3 linked regions of the Macaca mulatta genome follow. The protein of the gene in region 1 interacts with the protein of each later gene in a pairwise test. Links are inferred from orthologs where the notes say so. Each region holds a gene or a part of one and is shown in the gene's direction. Other genes may lie near its edges. The genes, in order: DVL3, SNX22 and LNX1.

Evidence for each region.
Region 2: the proteins of DVL3 (region 1) and SNX22 interact in binary tests that used the Homo sapiens proteins (3 or more experiments, as listed by UniProt). The two-hybrid records come from large-scale screens. The link is inferred for Macaca mulatta from reciprocal best matches to the Homo sapiens genes DVL3 and SNX22.
Region 3: the proteins of DVL3 (region 1) and LNX1 interact in a two-hybrid assay, tested with the Homo sapiens proteins (2 studies listed by BioGRID and IntAct). The link is inferred for Macaca mulatta from reciprocal best matches to the Homo sapiens genes DVL3 and LNX1.

Annotation. Positions count from the first base shown.
Region 1 is NC_133407.1:96,305,250-96,308,898, forward strand, and holds part of DVL3 (segment polarity protein dishevelled homolog DVL-3), read left to right. Parts: intron 1-590; coding exon 591-806; intron 807-903; coding exon 904-1,314; coding exon of another isoform or gene 1,315-1,340; exon of another isoform or gene 1,341-1,461; intron 1,462-2,148; coding exon 2,149-2,180; 3' UTR 2,181-3,649. UniProt on the Homo sapiens protein: Involved in the signal transduction pathway mediated by multiple Wnt genes.
Region 2 is NC_133412.1:41,496,972-41,500,720, forward strand, and holds the start of SNX22 (sorting nexin-22), read left to right. Parts: upstream 1-1,071; 5' UTR 1,072-1,104; coding exon 1,105-1,179; intron 1,180-1,571; coding exon 1,572-1,655; intron 1,656-2,004; coding exon 2,005-2,109; intron 2,110-2,599; coding exon 2,600-2,694; intron 2,695-3,011; coding exon 3,012-3,044; intron 3,045-3,294; coding exon 3,295-3,362; intron 3,363-3,747; coding exon 3,748-3,749. UniProt on the Homo sapiens protein: May be involved in several stages of intracellular trafficking. Interacts with membranes containing phosphatidylinositol 3-phosphate (PtdIns(3P)).
Region 3 is NC_133410.1:80,049,103-80,052,851, forward strand, and holds the end of LNX1 (E3 ubiquitin-protein ligase LNX), read left to right. Parts: intron 1-2,421; coding exon 2,422-2,580; intron 2,581-2,968; coding exon 2,969-3,104; 3' UTR 3,105-3,716; downstream 3,717-3,749.

The DNA of each region.
Region 1 (3,649 bases):
ATAAGAGTTTTGCAGGCCGGGCTCACGCCTGTAATCCCAGCCCTTTGGGAGGCTGAGGTGGGAGATCACCTGAGGTTAGGAGTTGGAGACCAGCCTGGCCAACATGGTGAAACCCTGTCTCTACTAAAAATAATAATAATAAAATTAGCCAGGCGTGGTGGTGTGACCCTGTCAGGAGGCTGAGGCAGGAGAATCGCTTGAATCAGGGGGGAGGAGGTTGCAGTGAGCTGAAACTGCACCACTGCACTCCAGCCTTGGCTATAGAATGAGACTCCGTCTCAAAGAGTTTTGCCGCTTCTAGCCCACTGAGGCCAGCAGAGAAAGTGCAAAAGCTTGGCAAGGGCCTTAAAGGGATTGGGAGGTACAGCTTTGGCTAAGAATGATGACTCGAGGCCTTCCTGAGGCGGGTCTCCCTGGAGCTGGCTCTGGTGGTGGCAAAGCGGGTCTGCGGAAGGGGCAGCTCTCTGGTCTGTGCCTCCTCTCATTCTAGCCAGAAACTACCACGGTCTCTGTCATCCAGAGCCCACCTGACCTAGGCTAGGGACCTCTCTCCAGAAAGACCTAGCTCCATCCGGCCCTTCCCTCCACAGACATGGCCAACCTGTCTCTCCACGATCACGATGGCTCCAGTGGCGCCTCTGACCAGGACACACTGGCCCCTTTGCCGCACCCGGGGGCCGCCCCTTGGCCTATGGCTTTCCCGTACCAGTACCCGCCACCCCCGCACCCCTACAACCCGCACCCAGGCTTCCCGGAGCTGGGCTACAGCTACGGCGGGGGCAGCGCCAGCAGTCAGCACAGCGAAGGTAAGGTAGAGGGGCCGTGGAGGAAGGCTATAGGTAGGCCTCAGGCTTCCCCCGCCCACTCAGCCTGCCCCGCGCTGGCCCTGTTTGCCTCCTACAGGCAGTCGGAGCAGTGGCTCCAACCGTAGCGGCAGCGATCGGAGGAAGGAGAAAGACCCGAAGGCCGGGGACTCCAAGTCGGGGGGCAGCGGCAGCGAATCGGACCACACGACACGCAGCAGCCTGCGGGGGCCGCGGGAGCGGGCGCCCAGCGAGCGCTCAGGCCCGGCGGCCAGCGAGCACAGCCACCGCAGCCACCATTCACTGGCCAGCAGCCTTCGCAGCCACCACACACACCCGAGCTACGGTCCTCCCGGAGTGCCCCCTCTCTACGGCCCCCCTATGCTGATGATGCCCCCGCCGCCCGCGGCCATGGGGCCCCCAGGAGCCCCTCCGGGCCGCGACCTGGCCTCAGTGCCCCCGGAACTGACCGCCAGCAGACAGTCCTTCCGCATGGCCATGGGAAACCCCAGTGAGTTCTTTGTGGATGTGATGTGAGCAGGGCCCCTCCCTCACCTCCATTCCGCTCCCACCCCAGCCGGCTGCGTTCCTCTCTCCATCCGTCCGTCTTTTTTACTTTGTCTGGTACCTGAAAGGGAAATAAACGGAACTAAATCCAGGTGCGCTAACTGCTCGCAGGGTGCTGCGAGGGTGGGGTGCACCTACCGATTGGCTCTGCAGTCCCCTAACCTGCCTCTGGCCCCACTTCCTTTCCTCTGCCCACTAACCGCTGCATAGGACTTCTCAGGACCCTTTTTGTCCCTGGGACCAGACTTGGTGCTGCCCCTTACTCCCCTCTGCAAACCCCCTTTTGGGAGTTGACCCCAGCAATGTCCTTGGTGGCATGCTCACTCCCTCATTCTCTCCTTTCCCCTTTAGCTCCCTTTCACCATTCATTCAGCTACATAATCCCTCTATTAACCCACCCTATCAGGCACGTGTGCAAACCTCTTGACTTTACCCCACATTACTGACACCAAAATATATTTGCTTCATCTGCCCCTACTAACTGTCCCCCTGCCTGCTGCCTTAGCCCTGCAACCTAAAGCTGTAGTTGCCTCCAGTAGCCATCCATGCCATCCCTGCCTGTGCCCAGGATCAGAGGCCCAGAGGGCCCCCTCAGTTGCCTGAGGGGCTAGTGCCTTCCAGGGAGCATCTCTGCTCTACCCCTGCCCCATGCCTGCCCTGCGTGCTGGTTCCTTCAGACCCCTAACCCTACTAACCATCAGGCTCTTCTCACCTCCAGGCCTGAAACATTTCTTTTCTTTCTTTTTTCCTCCCCCAATTTTCCCTGGGCCTGGAGCAGCCAAGAATTTCGGGCTGTTTGACTTTCTGTGAGCCCCCAGCGAGGGGAGGCCCAACCTCCGAGGAGACCAGGAACCCTGCTTCAGCAGCCCCTCAGGGCTTCCCAAGGATGTCCAACCCCCACACCCACACGTTAACATAATGGGTCACTAGGCTTCTGGGGAGGGCCCAGCTTCACCCATGCATGAGAGACTCTCCTCCTTTCCAGAGAGAATCGGACTGTACCACATGTGGCAGCCTGCGAGGGGATGGGGTGCGAGTTGGGGGGGGGTGCCTCTTTAGCTCTTTATCTTTCTCATGTATGCATACATGCACAGAGACGCAAGCACAGGTGCCTATGCAAGTTCACTAAAGCCTCAGGGCTGGTCCCTGCCGGAAGGGCTGGACCCTCTCAATCCTCTCCTAGGTTGTGGGGCTGGTCCCCTGACACCCTTCTCCCCATCCTGGTAGCCCTCAAACCTCGCACACATGTCCCCGGCATTTTCTCACCTGGATAAAGCCTGTAAGCTGGGTCTCAGGCTGGGCTCAGCAGAGGACTCGCCCTGCGACTGACAGACCATTCCCACCCCCACACACAACCTCCCCCGTTTTCACATTCACCATGACACCCCAGAGCAAGGACACAGGAGCCCACAAGCCAATTGAGGTTGGGCAAGGAGACTACCAGGACTTCCAGACAGAGTACCAGGTTTTATTTTTCACCTTATTCTCCACTTTAAACAAATCATGACTTTCTCTTTAAGCCTCTGCTATAAATTCTCCTGGCTGTCCTGGGCTTCCATATTTTGGGGGCTGGGGTGTCAAAAGTGAGATGAAGTCCTTAGCTCCAGGTTTTGGGATAAACCAAGGTAGGGACATTTTGGCATTTATTTCAATTAACAGTACTTCCTTGGACGGTTGCGGTGGCTCACGTCTGTAATCCCAGCACTTTGGGAAGCTGAGGCAGGTGGATCACTTGAGGTCAGGAGTTTGAGACCAGCCTGGCCAACATAGCGAAACCCCATCTCGACTAAAAATACAAAAATTAGATGGGTGTTTTGGCACCTGCCTGTAATCTCAGCTACTCAGGAGGCTGAGGCACAAGAATCGCTTGAATCCAGGAAGCAAGTGGAGGTTGCAGTGAATTGAGATCGCACTCCAGCCTGGGTGACAGAGTGAGATTCTGTATCAAAAGCAAACAAAAACAATACTTCCTGGGATTTTGGTGCACAGGGAGCTTTGTTGGAAGTGTGACTCAGTCTTGCCTGCCTTCTGGGAGCTCTAGAATTGTTCCCAACCTAGTCCGTGGCTTCTAGCCACCACTAGAAGTTTCACGTACTTCTCTCTCTGACTCTGTCTTGTCCAACTCTCTGGAGAATTTCTCCACGATTGCTCATGCCTGTCAGTATCAGTGCTTCCATCGTTCCATCTTTGATTCACTTCTCTTTCCTTTCTGTTTACTCCCAAAATGGAGTCATTCATCCTGATGTCCTCAATTGCTGCTGATATGCTGGTGATTCCCA
Region 2 (3,749 bases), on another chromosome or scaffold:
GTTAAGGGCCTAACACAAATCATCTCACTTTTTTTTAGACAGAGTCTTGCTGTCGCCCAGTCTGGAGTGCAATGGCTTGATCTCGTCTCACTGCAGCCTCTGCCTCTCAGGTTCAAGCGATTCTCCCGCCTCAGCCTCCTGAGTAGCTGGGATTACAGGCATGTGCCACCACACCCGGCTGATTTTTGTATTTTTAGTAGAGACACGGTTTCACCATGTTGGTCAGGCTGGTCTCGAACTCCTGACCTCAGGTGATCCGCCTGCCTTGGCCTCCCAAAGTGCTGGCATTACAGGCGTGAGCCACCGTGCCCCGCCAAATCATCTCACTTTATACACTCGCCTGAAGGAGTCACGTTATCCCTATTTTGCAGATGAGCAAAGGTCTACAGAGCTCCTGAAATCCAGGCTTTCTGACCCCCAAATCGGAGCTTAGGTCCCTAAACTGCCTCTTCCCCACAAACAGCCTGGAGACCCTTAGGGTTGGAAAATAGGAGTGAATGGATGGATGAAAACAATGAATGAATGTGTGTGTTGGGGGGCGTGGGGGTGTGCTGTGGATGCTGGAGAAGGGGGCATCAAAGCTGGATTGGGTTCAAGCCTTGCTCAGGTGTGGCCTCAGCCGGGGACTCCATATCACAATCCCAGGGAGCAGGCTTAAAGGAAGGAAAGGCTTGGGAAGGGACTGAGGAACACAATACAGGTCCCTGGTTGGCCCCAGGACCGGCGCTGAGGCCCGGGTCCCGCCTCCGGCCACGCCAGGAGCCACAGGCCGGTCCTTAGTTCATAGCAGGCGCTTAACTCAGGATGGGTGACATTTTTGCTCCCCAGTTCCTGGCATCAGTGAGGGCTCCGTCAATGTTTGACAAACGGGTGACTCCATTGCCCCGCGCTGCGGGCGCACTAGACCTCGGGGGCGGCGTCCGGGTCCCGCTTAATCTTCTAGGCTCAGGACCCGCCGCGCAAGGGAACGCCCGGGGCGGGGTCGCCTGGGGGCGGGGCCTGCGGGCCGAGGGGGCGGGGCCGGCCGCGCCGGGGTCCTCCGTCAGCTCCCGGAGAGTTAGGGCTCCGAGCCGAGCGCGCGGAGCGGCCGGGGCCGGGGCGCGGATGCTGGAAGTTCACATCCCGTCGGTGGGGCCTGAGGCCGAGGGGCCCAGGCAGAGCCCGGAGAAAGGCCACATGGTGAGCGCGGCCCCTGGATGGGGAGGGGCGCCGGTACCCGCAGGATTTGCCCGCGCTGCACTCAGTGGGGACCCGGAGCCCGGGCCCAGGTGAACAAACGCTGCGGGCTGGACCGTCGGGGGAAACCTTGTCGAGGGTTTGGGGGCCGCTTGGATTTGCCAGCCTCGCGGGCCGTGGTTCGAGCTCTTGAGGGACCCCAGGGCGCCGAGGGGAGGGTCCGCCAGCCCGTTCTTCCAGGTGTGCGGGAGCGAAGCGTCCCCGAGGAGCCGCGGTGCCGCAAGGCCGCTTTGTGCCTTTGAGCGCGGGAGGGTGGGCGCGTCGCCGGGCGCAGGTTCTGCTGTGTCCTCCCGCGGGGCCTCACGCGTACCCCCGCTGCCCGCCCGCGCCGCCAGGTGTTCCAAGTGGAGGTGCTGTGCAGCGGGCGCAGACACACGGTGCCGAGGCGCTACAGCGAGTTCCACGCGCTGCACAAGCGGGTGAGGCGACGCCGACCTCCCACCGGCCCCGGCCCCGGCCCCGGCCCCGGCCCCGGCCCCGGCCCAGCCTCCGTCCAGCCCCTGCCCAGGCCCTGTGAGGCCGGCGGGCGAGCTCCAGCCCCAGCCTCCGCCACCCCTATTACTGCCTCAGTCCCTGCGAGGCCGGTCAGCCCCCGGGCGTCTGTGGGTGGGTTGGAGCCTTCCTCGCCCTCCGCCTGTCCACCACTCACCAGGGTCTGTCCCAGGGTACAGTCCGAAGGCGGGGGCGCGGGAGGGTTTCCGGCTCGGGCGAAGAGGGCTTGAGGGCTCAGTCGGGATGCTGTGATTGCACGCGGTAAACCTCCAGTAGATCAAGAAGCTGTACAAAGTGCCCGACTTCCCCTCGAAACGCCTGCCCAACTGGAGGACCAGAGGGTTGGAACAGCGCCGGCAGGGCTTGGAGGCCTACATCCAGGTATGCGAGGGCACACTTGGTTGCCCCCCAGCCTGCTGTGCCAGGGGTGTGGCCCAGACAGAGAGGTGTGAGGGCATGGCAGGGAGTGAACCCACGACTTGGGGTTGTTATTCACCACCTCAAGCATCAATCTTCTGAAGAGTAATATAAGTCCAAACACCCACCTCTGGACTGTTGAAAGGACTGAATGAGGTAATGGACACAGGTAGTCCCAGCTCCATGAAAGCCAGGTCCTGTCCCCTCCAGAGTGAGGTCCTGTGCTGCCCTCCTGATGGGATGTAGGGTGAGGGTCCTTCCCCCAACAGCGAAGTTATGCCACATCATGGGGTACAACCTGTGCACACAGGGCCCAGCGCTCAGAAGGGCCCTGAGCCTGGTTCAATTGTCTTGAAATTCTTTTTTTGGAACAAAGAGCCCTGCGTTTTCATTGGCACTGTGCTATGCAAATTAGTAGCTGGGTCCGATTGCAAGTCTCCTCTGTCGTCTCCAGGGCATCCTGTACCTGAACCAGGAGGTGCCCAAGGAGTTACTGGAATTCCTGAGACTTCGGCACTTCCCCACAGATCCCAAGGCTAGCAACTGGGGGTAAGGGGGGCCGGTGGCGGGGGCCAGGGGCTGTCGGCAGTGAACAGGTGAGGAAAGGTGTTGGAGGGCAAGCCCTTTCGTCTCACATCTGCCGGGATCCAGCTTGACATGACCACCGTCACCAGCCTTCTTGACCTGGGTGGAGAGGCTTTTCTTTGGACAGCCTTGGTTACCCCAGCCACCTCCGGAACTGGGGCTTGTTACAAATAGAAGCAGTGGTCCCCTGGGAGGCGCAGTTCTGGGCTCTGGTGTCTCCACCCCTTCCTCACGCTCCCCTGGCATCCCCAGGCAGCTTACAGTGTTTCTCTTCTCTTCAGCGCCCTGGGGGAGTTCCTGCCTGGCGAGAGCAGGCAAGTCAAAGCCCTAGCCCGCGCCTGGCCCCTGCCGCCCCCTAGTGGCCATATGCTAGGAGGCGGGCCTGCTCCCTGGGCCTGTCTGGCCTGGGCCCTGAAGTCTGTTTTCCCTTTGGTGCCTCCTGAGCCCATTTCCCACTCATGTTTTCCTTCATGGGTCCCTGGTGATCTCAGCCCCGTCTCCACCCCTCTGTGGGATTCTGCCCTGCCTCCTGCACCCATGGTTTATGACCCTCTTTCCTCCCAGCTCCCAGCAGCACCAGCGGCCTGTCCTGAGCTTCCATATGGATCCCTATGTTTGCACCCCCTCCCCAGGTGAGGAGGTGCCTAGATACCGGGCTACAGGGGTAGGGTATTGGGCTTGGCATTTCTCAGCTCCTGGGACCGTCAGGCAGCATCACCTTCCTGCTGCCCACCTCTGGAGCCACTACCTCCTGCTCCTGTTCCCTGGAGCCTGCTTTGTAGACACAAGGAAAACAAGTTTGGCTTCCCTGGTGTCCATTTCCTCAGCAACCTGACTTCTTTACCAAGCTGATATGAACAGAATGTGACCTGGGAATGCTGAGGCTTCATTTGGGGTGGACAGCTGCTGTCTGCTACCTTGGCAAGGGCTCCTACACCCAAGTGGGGGCTGAGCCCATGAGCAGGAGCTCAAGGAGCTGCAGGCCTGAGGCCAGACCTGTTTAATTCTATCCCACAGAG
Region 3 (3,749 bases), on another chromosome or scaffold:
ACGCCACTTAGCAATGAAAAATTTACAATAATTTAAATCAGGAAGAAACAAGATCTCAACTGGCTTTGGCTGATGCACTTATTTTCTAAACAGTGTTTTTCTTAGGAAAGAGGCTCTGCCTTAGTGTTCTTTGTAGTCTGCAGACTTAGTTCAAAGTCAGTGTTCTCAAATATGTATTGACTAAATTAGTAGTATAAGGGGATATATAAAAATTTAGGAAAAAACTTAGCTTCTTGAGCAGCTCAAGACTTCACCATTCTCATTAACTCATTTCAGTGGAAATCAAATGAGTCACCACACTCATTAACTCATTTCATTAAATTTGTTCTTGAGGTAACCATAATTTTCTCATTGGGAAAAACTACCAAACTCTTTATACTATGCCGAATCTTTTTCGATAGGCCTAAATTTAGAGAATGAGTGCAGAATAGGAAAGAAGTCCACATTTACATTCAAAGTTTAAAGCCACCTAGTATCTGAGGTCACTGATCAAAAACAGCTGCCCATTTCCCAGTGGGAAGTAAAATAACCCAACTTAAGAAAAAAATGCCCACAAAGTCAGATCAAGGTCTGACTTTGCAACGGGTTAACATAAGGAGGTCTCACTGCTGCAATAAAGTTAAATACACAACACCAATAAAAGAAAGCATTTACTTTTTAAGGAAATAAAACAAGTAACACTGGTATCAACTTGAATGGATGCTTCAGGAGGGCAGGGGATTTTGTGTTTTGTTTAAACATCTGCAGAAAGATGATCAAAGCAGGGTGTTCTCTCCAGTATCAAGAGGTAAGAAAATGGACACACTGTGACTTACTGGGTTCAAAGCTTTGAACTAGAACATGTAATGTTTTAGATGGTTATGTTTACAGCTTCTCCATATGAAATATTCAGTAAGAGTATACTCATTTATATATCAAACTGGGCAATGTTAAAACTGGTATTTGATCATGACCTTGGATAACAATCATCTAATTCTTACCTTTCTCCAAAAAATTGGGCACACATCCTCCCAGGTGGGAATGTTAATGCTTTGGTATTTACAGAATAGTCAGTTACCTGCTTTGTACATGAGGAGTCAGTGAACCATTATGTAAAATGTGTATCTGACACACCACAGCTCCCAAAGAATGAATTTACCACTGACATCAAGGTTTACTGTGAAATGCAGCAGATACATATTTTACAAAATATGAAATTTAATGAAATTCATACTTTTAAGCAATCATTTCAGTAAAAGAAATTGTTATGATGTATATGTATGACAATAGATTCAGAACTGGTTAGAGTTGAATTTCAGCAATACATCTTAAAGGTATTTGCCAAACAAACCCTAAAGCTCATTTTATTTCAAGTGAAAACACCATCATGAAAAAAAGTCATGTCACATTGACTAACAAGGTTGGTAACAAATGTAATGATCAACTTTATCACTTAACATTTCACAAGACTTTTTATTGGTTCTAAAAAGCAATTAATATTTTAAAGGTACGGTATATAAACAAAATAGCCATATCTTGATTTTTGGCAACATGAAAAGGCCAATTTCCTTTCAAAACAATTCCTGGACTACAGCTACAAATGTGGTGAACAACGTCATATAGAGTAAAATTCAACTCCTGACACACACTTCTATGGCAACTGTAACATAGTTAACACTTGGCCTGTACCTATATGAACACTGATTCATTAGGGGCCAGTGAATAAAAATTTCTTCAATCTCATTTGCTATTTTAGTTGAGGATTCTACTAATTTACAGAAGAGCTGGGCCTTTCCTTCTCCCATTCCTTTTATAACTTCCTATCCAGTTTCCTGCAGTTTATTTTTCCTCCTATATGAATTGTTCTTATAATCTTTAAATGTATCTGTTTCCGTTCACTTTATGCCTGCATGCTTCTCTATGACTTGCCAAACATGTAGAACTGGGTGTAAAGTGGTATTTTTCCAAGGTCAAAAAAAGTATACAAATTCATTTATTAGGATTAGGTTTAAATTGCTTTCATTGAGATTATTCAAAGGATTTTTGCCTTCATTAAAAATTATATCAAGTAAATATTATATGACATCCATGTTTGTTCACCAATAAGGATTTAGGTTTATCCAACTTTTTGCTAATACAAATTCAAGCATTGTCTTAAGTTAAAAATATGATTATCGTTCCCAGTAGATGTATAACAGAACACAATAGGGGGTGTCAGTTTTTTAAGGATATTCAAAATTATGGAAAACAGAGGTTCAATTACAAAAAGCCAGCTAACGGCACAAAGGTCACCAAGGTACGATACAATTTTGAGTGGGACCTATGCAGTGCTACTTAGCCATTAAAAATGCCAACAAAAGGAATGGGGGATGAATCACAGTTAAGTATTCCCTTAACTGTAACACTTAAATGTGCATGTACACTGACTACATTCTATTTCAGGTGCTTGTATAACTGTAAAGACATTATATTACGAAGAAACACAGCTGGAAGTCTGGGCTTCTGCATTGTAGGAGGTTATGAAGAATACAATGGAAACAAACCTTTTTTCATCAAATCCATTGTTGAAGGAACACCAGCATACAATGATGGAAGAATTAGGTAATAAAATAATGACTAACCAAAAAAACTTGTATTAAATGTTGTTTAATAAATGCCAAAGCTTGGCCTCATTTGAGATAAGGCATGTATTTATTATACTTTGTGGGGAGTTAAAGTATTTATGTAGCATTCAACTTCTGAGAAATCCAAAATAATTACACATATTCTTAGTCCCATACTACAACTCCCCATACTTTTAGCATTCCTTCTAACACAAGCTGAGTGGATAGTGAGTTTGGAGAATGTAAATAAGAGGCAAGAAATATCTAAATTAAAAGCAACATAATTAAAATGATCAGATGCAGCAAAAATTAGGACCACTAAGATAAACTTGCATTAACTTCAGCAATGAATTAAAATACTAATCATATCTTGGTTTTTTTTTTAGATGTGGTGATATTCTTCTTGCTGTCAATGGTAGAAGTACATCAGGAATGATACATGCTTGCTTGGCAAGACTGCTGAAAGAACTTAAAGGAAGAATTACTCTAACTATTGTTTCTTGGCCTGGCACTTTTTTATAGAATCAATGATGGGTCAGAGAAAAACATAAAAATCACAAATAGGCTAAGTTGAAACACTGTATTTATCTTGTCAGTTTTTATATGTAAATACACTGTTAAAATGTCAGGAAAAGTATGATCTAATGAAAGTCAGTTACACCTCAGAAAATATGATTCCAAAAATATTAAAACTACTAGTTCTTTTTCAGTGTGGAGGATTTCTCATTACTCTACAACTTTGTTTATATTTTTTCTATTCAGTAAAAAGCCCTAAACAGCTAAAATGATTTGTATACCCCACTGAATTCAAGTTGATTTAAATTTAAAATTTGGTATATGCTGAAATCTGCCAAGGGTACATTATGACCATTTTTAATTTACAGCTAAAAGATTTTTTTAAATGCATTGCTGAGAAACAATGCTTTCATCAAACAAGAAATAAATATTTTTCAGAAATTATAGTTGTCTTTTAGTATGTGATACTAATTAAGATTACTTGTATTATTACCATTTAAAAGATCCTAGTAATTTATCCTTGCAAATACCATGTTATTTGTTACCATCACTGACAAATGTGTTCTAGGGCTATCCCTAAAAATGCTCAGAGAATATAAACTTGTTTTGTTTTAGTAATGGCTAAAGCTCTTTTTTCCACAATCGTTAGCG